2 linked regions of the Oryctolagus cuniculus genome follow. The protein of the gene in region 1 binds, or shares a complex with, the protein of each later gene. Links are inferred from orthologs where the notes say so. Each region holds a gene or a part of one and is shown in the gene's direction. Other genes may lie near its edges.

What was found.
Region 2: POLR2K (region 1) and GTF2H5 share a complex: the UniProt entries of both Homo sapiens proteins name them as parts of the TBP-based Pol II pre-initiation complex. The link is inferred for Oryctolagus cuniculus from reciprocal best matches to the Homo sapiens genes POLR2K and GTF2H5.

Annotation. Positions count from the first base shown.
Region 1 is NC_091437.1:125,592,379-125,596,696, forward strand, and holds POLR2K (DNA-directed RNA polymerases I, II, and III subunit RPABC4), read left to right. Parts: upstream 1-1,350; 5' UTR 1,351-2,053; intron 2,054-2,648; 5' UTR 2,649-2,657; coding exon 2,658-2,718; intron 2,719-3,013; coding exon 3,014-3,106; exon of another isoform or gene 3,107-3,137; intron 3,138-3,732; coding exon 3,733-3,755; 3' UTR 3,756-4,086; downstream 4,087-4,318. UniProt on the Homo sapiens protein: DNA-dependent RNA polymerase catalyzes the transcription of DNA into RNA using the four ribonucleoside triphosphates as substrates.
Region 2 is NC_091436.1:9,572,551-9,575,489, reverse strand, and holds the end of GTF2H5 (general transcription factor IIH subunit 5), read left to right. Parts: intron 1-2,045; coding exon 2,046-2,226; 3' UTR 2,227-2,426; downstream 2,427-2,939. UniProt on the Homo sapiens protein: Component of the general transcription and DNA repair factor IIH (TFIIH) core complex, which is involved in general and transcription-coupled nucleotide excision repair (NER) of damaged DNA and, when complexed to CAK, in RNA transcription by RNA polymerase II.

The DNA of each region.
Region 1 (4,318 bases):
GGTGATGGTCATATGTATGCTGTGTTAGCATGTTTGTGGAGGAAGAAGCAGGAAATTGCTGTTTCCCCAAAAATATTTGATTTTTTATGTGAAAATCTCCATTTAAAAATGTTTATTTATTTGAAAGGCAGAGAGAGAGAGAGAGAGAGAGGTGTCTTCCATCCACTGGTTCACTCCCCAAATGGCCTCACTGGCCAGGACTTGGCCAGACCAAAGCCAGGAGTCAGGAGCCTCCTCTGGATCTGACACGTGTGTGCAGGGGCCCAAACAGTTGGCCATCCTCTGCTGCCTTCCCAGGCATACTAGCAGGGAGTGGGATTGGAAGAGAAGTAGTTGAGACTTGAACCACTGCCCATATGGGATGCTGATGTCACAGGCAGTGGCCCTACCTGCCACACTGCAATGCTGGCCCTAATACTATTATTTTATTACAGAGGCACAGAGGCAGAGAGTGAATCAGCTGGCTCGCTCCCCAAATGCACACAACAGCCCTGGTTGAAATCAGGAGCCAGTCACTTAATCCAGTTCTCCCATGTGGGTGGGAGGGAATCAAGTACTTGAGCCAGAAACTGCTGCCTCCCAGGACGGCCATCAGCAGGAAGCTGGAATTGAGAAGTGGAGCTGGGCTAGGCCAAACTCCTGCCCCCTGGAAAGACAGGGAAATCCCAGTTGAATGTCTCAAGTTGGTTTGTGGAGATGCAACCACACAGTTTTAACTTCTGGAAATGAAAGGTGAAGCTAAAGTTCTCAAGTTGATGGATGGAGTCCTACTTAATAAGATACCAAAGACACAGTGCATGTGGGGGAAGCAAGCCTGCTTCTACAATTAACTTTATAATAACTGTTAACAATTATTTCTGGGGCCAGAGCCGTGGCGCAGCAGGTTAACCCCCGGCCTGAAGCGCCAGCAGCCCATGTGGGCGCCGGTTCTAGTCCTGGCTGCTCCTCTTCTGATCCAGCTCTCTGCTATGGCCCGGGAAAGCAGTGGAGGATGGCCCAAGTCCTTGGGCCCCTGCACCCACATGGGAGACCAGGAAGAAGCTCCTGGCTCCTGGCTTAAGATCGGGCAGCTCCGGCCGTTGCTGCGAATTGGAGAGTGAACCATCAGATGGAAGTCCCCTCTCTCTCTGGTTCTGCCTCTCCTCTCTCTGTGTAACTCTGACTTTCAAATAAATAAATCTTTAATTATTTCTATAAAGTTGTAATAATTTCATTTTCTTAGCTCTGCTTCTATTCTAAGTAAAATATCTTTTGTGAAAGAAGTAAATGAATGTAAATGTTCGAATCTAATCGGCATTTATGCCACTGAATATTCTTTGAAAGAATGCAACTCCCACAAGCACGTCTTTTTTTTTTTTTTTTTTTTTTCTCCTAGGAATACATGGGACCAAGGGAGGGCCAGTGAACCGCTAAAGCTACCAAAATCCTTTAGCTTTAAGTGCGAGGTGTCGAGGGCGCTGCCCCGCAGGTGCGCCTGCACTGTAAAACGAGTAACAGGCGTGGAGGCGAGGGAGAAGCAAAGGGCTGGAGAGCAAAAACACGATCAAGCATGACAAGGACGGGAGGCGGCTGGCACACAGCCCCAGCACAGGTACCCAACAACCTGAAAACAGCCTAGAATGTGCTTTTCTACGGGGTAACAAAAAAAAAAAAAAAAAAAATCACTGGTTAACCGAGTCTAAGTCATCAGAGGAACGGCGCGTTCAGGATTCCACCGGCACTTGTCACCTCCGTCCCTCTTAGTCTCGGTCCTTCCGGAAAAGCGTTCATTTCCGCCAATCTCACGAGTCAGAAATACAAACTTCCTTTGAAGAACTGTTAAAATGATTTTCTTTCCTGAAAAATGAGAATAGCTAAGTGTTAAAAAATGTGCTTGATGTCCACAGAGTCCGTTGCGAGCAAGAAACTAGTTTTAGAGTCTTGCGCAAACTCGGTTTCCGGGCCGGGCCGGGGCGGAAGGGGCGGTGCTCGTCTTGCGTCACAAGCCAGCGCCGGAAGTTGACAGCGACACTGCGTGTTGGGAGCAGATGCGGAGTTTCTCCGTTCTACGCAGGTAAGGAGTTATGGGGCTGGGGTTTAGGTGTGGGTATTTGAGCCAAACCAGAAAGACACTTGGGGGCTAAGAAGGTCCAGTGCGAGGTTAGAGTCAGGAGATGCTGGTGGAGGAGTTGGTGCCGTCAGTGCTTTGCCTGGTTTCTTTTAGTTGAGCTGTTTAGCCATTGGGAATTATTTTAGTATTCTTCCCGGCGGTTAGTCTGTTCCGTTTTGGAGGGATATTCATGTGTTAGATGAGAACTCGAGTTTTGAGCCGAATCTGAATCCTTTTGCCTGCGCAAACTAGTATCTCTCAGCCTCGCTTTCTTCGTGTATAAAACAGGAGTGACACTTGAGGGTTGTTGTGAAGATTATAATGAAGGAACAAAATGCGGATCATTTTCTGTCGTGCCCAGTTTGGGGTCGACTCTCAGTACTTGTGTGTGTCTGTGTGGTTTGCCCCTTAGACCTAACTCCCAGGCACGGAGAAGAGCGCAGATGAGGGGGAACTGGGATCTCTTTCAGTTTTTCCTGAAAAAACAAGGGGAGGGAGGGCTGTTCGGGTTTGTGAGGAACCCCTTTGAAATACTGAGGATTTGATTCTGTGTTTGCAGGGACTGACAATGGACGCCCAGAAAGACGTTCAGCCCCCAAAGCAGCAGCCAATGATATATATTTGTGGAGGTAAGGATAACGCTACATAAAGTAAGAGTATTTTGCTTAATTTGTTTTTGAAATTATTACATTTATCCTTTGAATGAATGAGTCATTGGTGTTTAAAGTTATAAAGGAGCGCCTCGTAGCACCACTTAAAACTCTTATTTGCTCTGGAAAAACAGCATTGCCCACAACTCTCTTCTTTCCCATTTAGTATATTTTGTAATATCATACCCTTGCCTGATATGGTTAAGATAATTTGCCTGTCTGCACTGTTTTCCTTTTAAATTTGAGTAAGCCTTTTTTTTTTTTTTCTCCCTAGAATGTCACACTGAAAATGAAATAAAATCCAGGGATCCAATCAGATGCAGAGAATGTGGATACAGAATAATGTACAAGAAAAGGACAAAAAGATGTATCCTTTAACTCTACTTTTAAAATCTGAGGTAGGAGCCAACTGTAGAGTGATGCAGGGGTTGATAGACACTACTTCTGGTAGAAACCGTAAGAACTTTGGATTAATTAAAGAGATATTATTAGCATTTTTCATAGACAAGAACTGAAGCACTAAATAATTGAAATACTAGTTGATTTTGATTCTCATAAGTTTATTTTCCAGAGATTCTGTATTTACATAAGAACTGATTGTTCAGCTTGACAAATAAATTATACAAGGAGTAATACAAATATTGTGTATGCTACTTAGTAGGAAAAAGTGGAGCCAACACATGAGACTAAACACTGAGAGTGAGTTGTAATTTTCTAACATAACTTTTTTAAAATCACAAGTTATTACCTTTAGCATTCAGTGCTTTTTGATACATTGGGTTTTTTTTCATTGGTTGGGAAAAGTGCTAATAAAAATTGAAAGCTTTTATTTACTTTATATCTAGTTGTTGTAATAAATAGTGAATTCCAGGTCTTTGTGCATTTTAAATTAACAAACTAGCTTGTTGCACATGTAAAGTGATTTGGAAGTCTTCAGTCTTTTTCTGTAATTTTCAACTACATTTTTTTTTTCCTTAACTCAGATGAATACAGTGGTGGTCTTTGATGCGCGTTGAAATGTGCATTCAGAGGAATATCTTCATTTGTACTTGCATTTGCTGTTAATGTTTCTCATTGTTGTATGGCTTTTGGTTTAGCATCTTTTTGAACTACGTATGATTTCATTTTGAACCATATTGTATTTAGGTATCTTTTAATGTAAAGAAGTTAGATTACATGACTTATAATTTAATTTTATTGTTTATGTAATGTGACACAAATGAAGGTTAAAATTACTTTCTTAAACTATGCTTGCAAGCAGAACCTAGAATCATCTGGGGTCTTTGTGAAAAATGCAGATTTTTAGAGCCCTCTGAAAGTCTAATTAAATAAATTCCTTGGAAATCACTGTGTCATGAGATGTTTGTGAAATTTCCAGTGTCTTTGGTACAGAATGTAGCAGTGTGTTTGCTGTCAGCATACGTATGTCATTTTAAGTTCAGTTTTTCATATACTACATGTCCTGTGGTAAGTAATAGGCCTTTCTGTATACTGTATGAGTATTTTTCAAACCTTGGATGAGGAAAGGGAAATGGTTTAATGGTTGCTTTTTTTTTTTTTTTTTTTAAGATTTATTTGA
Region 2 (2,939 bases), on another chromosome or scaffold:
CCAGGACACCAGGTGTTCTCCCGCCTCAGTGGTCAGTTCATAGTACCCTCGGCTGAGTCCTTTTCTTCTGACTTTTTGATGCTAGGATGTCCAGGACGTGGACTTGGACTCTTTGTTGCTATGCTCACTCCCTTGTCATGGCCCTTGAATTTTACTCTTCACTGTTGAACTCCAGAATTTCACATCCAACTTCTTACTCAGCTTTTTCCCCTTGGTGGCAGTAGACATCTCAAATACGACATGCTTATAACCAAACTCTTGGATTTGAGTTTGTTTGTTAAGATTTTATTTATTTGAGAGGCAGAGTTACAGAGAGAGCAGTCTTCCATCCATTGGCTCCATCCTCAAATGACCACAATGGCCAGAGCTGGGCTGATCTGAAGCCAAGAGCTTCTTCTAGGTCTCCCACATGGGTGCAGGGGCCCATGCACTTGGCCCATTTTCCACTGCTTTCCCAGGCACATTAGCAGGGAACTGCGGTGGAAATGGAGCAGCCGGGACTCAAACCAGCATCTGTATGGATGCCGGCACTGCAGGCGGAGGCTTGTGCCGCAGCACCAGCCCCCAACAAACTCCTGGTCTTAACTGCAAACCTTTTCTGCCCACATTTCTCCCCTCTCAGTAAAAGACAACTCCATCCTCACATTTGTTCACACCAAAATCTCAGCGTCTCCTTGATTCCTGCCTTTCAAAGCTCAGCCAAGTGTTGGCTTTACATCAGTATACTAGAATTCAGTCTCCACTCATACAGCCAAGTCCACATCATTATCATGTCTTACCTGGATCACTGCAGCCACCAGTTGGTCTCCCTGTTAACACCTGGCCCCGCCACTCTGTCTTTTCTTACCCAGCAGTCAGCAGGATCCCTGCATTTTAAAGTCTTCAGTTTGGAAGTTAAATCATGTCACTCCGTGAACTACCTCCAAGCCTGTACTCATCTAGCGGTTGAAATAACCCCTTATGTTGTTAACTTCACTCAGTATCAGTGTTTTCACTTGAAAGAAAGAAAGCTGATTTTTTTATTTTCAGAGAATTACACTGTTATCTTTACAATTGATATTGACATTCCTTGGAACATCAAAAGATTGTGTTTCCTCTGAGAATTATAAAAATCTGTGTTTGAAGTGTATGTTCTTTTGCTAAGCACCCTACTGTGAGACATGGGCTTTTAATCTATATTGCCCACCAAGAGGGAGATATCTCTTTGTCTTGGAACTACTGTGTTCGTTCAGAGTAAGAACCACAAGAAAATAGAATTGAATGGAGATCTCTTTGAGCCTTCAAAGACTCTGAGGGATAGTTCATACGAAGGTCACACAAGTTTGTCGTGAAGGAGCTGAATTCACATCTGACTCTTGCCATACGCCATTAGCTTACTAGAGTGTCCATTTAGCCAGTTTTATCACTGGCAAGATACTAAACAACTATTGGTTTTTTAAATGTAATGGTCCTGCGGAAGTAAGGAAATTCATTTTTAATTCAATTAAAGAAGCTATGATTCTAGGCCTTATTAACTACAAAGCTTTTGAATATTCTTTTACCTTTTTTTTTAAATTTTCTTTTAAAATATATTTAACTTATTTGTAAGGCAGAGTAACAGGGAAGAAAAGACTGAGAAATCTTCATCCCCTGGTGTGTCCCCAAGTGGCTGCAACAGCTAGATCTGGGTCAGGCCCAAGCCAGGAGCCAGGAACTCCATTCTAGTCTCCCACATGGGTGGCACGGGCCCAAGTACTTGGGCTGTCCTCACTGCCTTCCCAGGCACATTAGCAATAAGCTGCGTCAGAAGCAGGGCAGCCAGGACTCGAACTAGCTCTATGATAGCGGATGCCACCCTGACCATGGTCTCTCTCTCAAACTTGCACTAAGAGTTCTAAAATAAGGCTGTGTCTAAATCCTTAACATTTGAGGTAGAGAGAAGTGAGGGATTAATAGTTCAGAATTTTAAAAATCATCCCAAGACTTAACATGTACCCAAATTTAATTTCTCAGTCTCTGCGGTGTGATTTGACAAGATATCTTACAACGTGTGTTTATCTCTGCAGCGATCCTGCCATGAAGCAGTTTCTGCTGTACTTGGATGAATCCAATGCCCTAGGGAAGAAGTTCATCATTCAAGACATTGATGACACCCATGTCTTCGTAATAGCAGAGTTGGTTAACGTCCTCCAGGAGCGAGTAGGTGAATTAATGGACCAAAATGCCTTTTCTCTTACCCAGAAGTGAAAATAAAGATACTGACCACTTGGGAATTGCAAGCAACAATGTGAAAGACTGTCCCCACCCAGTGTTTTCCGTGTTTTATGTGACTGAGCAGACATGAGGCAAATGCTGCAGAAAAGACCATGGGATCATTTATTCAGGAAAACACCCTGAGCTGATTTGTTTTACACTAAAATTAAAAAAACAAAAACGAAATCCTCTAACAGTTGTCTGTGATTTGATTTTTATTGTCCTTTATTAAAAGATTGTGGGGGGGCCAGTCCTGTGGCACAGTGGGTTAATCTTCTGCCTGTGGCGCCGGCATCCCGTATGGGCACTGGTTCTAGTCCCAGCTGCCCCTCTTCTGATCCAGCTCTCTGCTATGGCCTGGGAAAGCAGTGGAGGATGGCCTGGATGCTTGGCCCCTGCACCCCATGGGAGACCGGGAGGAGGCACCTGGTTCCTGGATTCGGATCGGCACAGCTCTGGTTGTTGTGGCCATCTGGGGAGTGAGCCAACGGAAGGAAGACCTTTCTCTCTGTTTCTCCCTCTCACTGTCTGTAACTCTGCCTCTCAAATAAATAAATAAAATCTTTTAAAAAAATACAAATGTAGGGGCTGGTGTTACACAGATTATGCTTGGAATGCCTGTATCTCCTACTGGAGAGCCTGGGATCAAGTCCTGCCTCTACTTCTTCCTATCCAGCTTCCTGCTAATGAGCCTGGAAGGCAGCAGA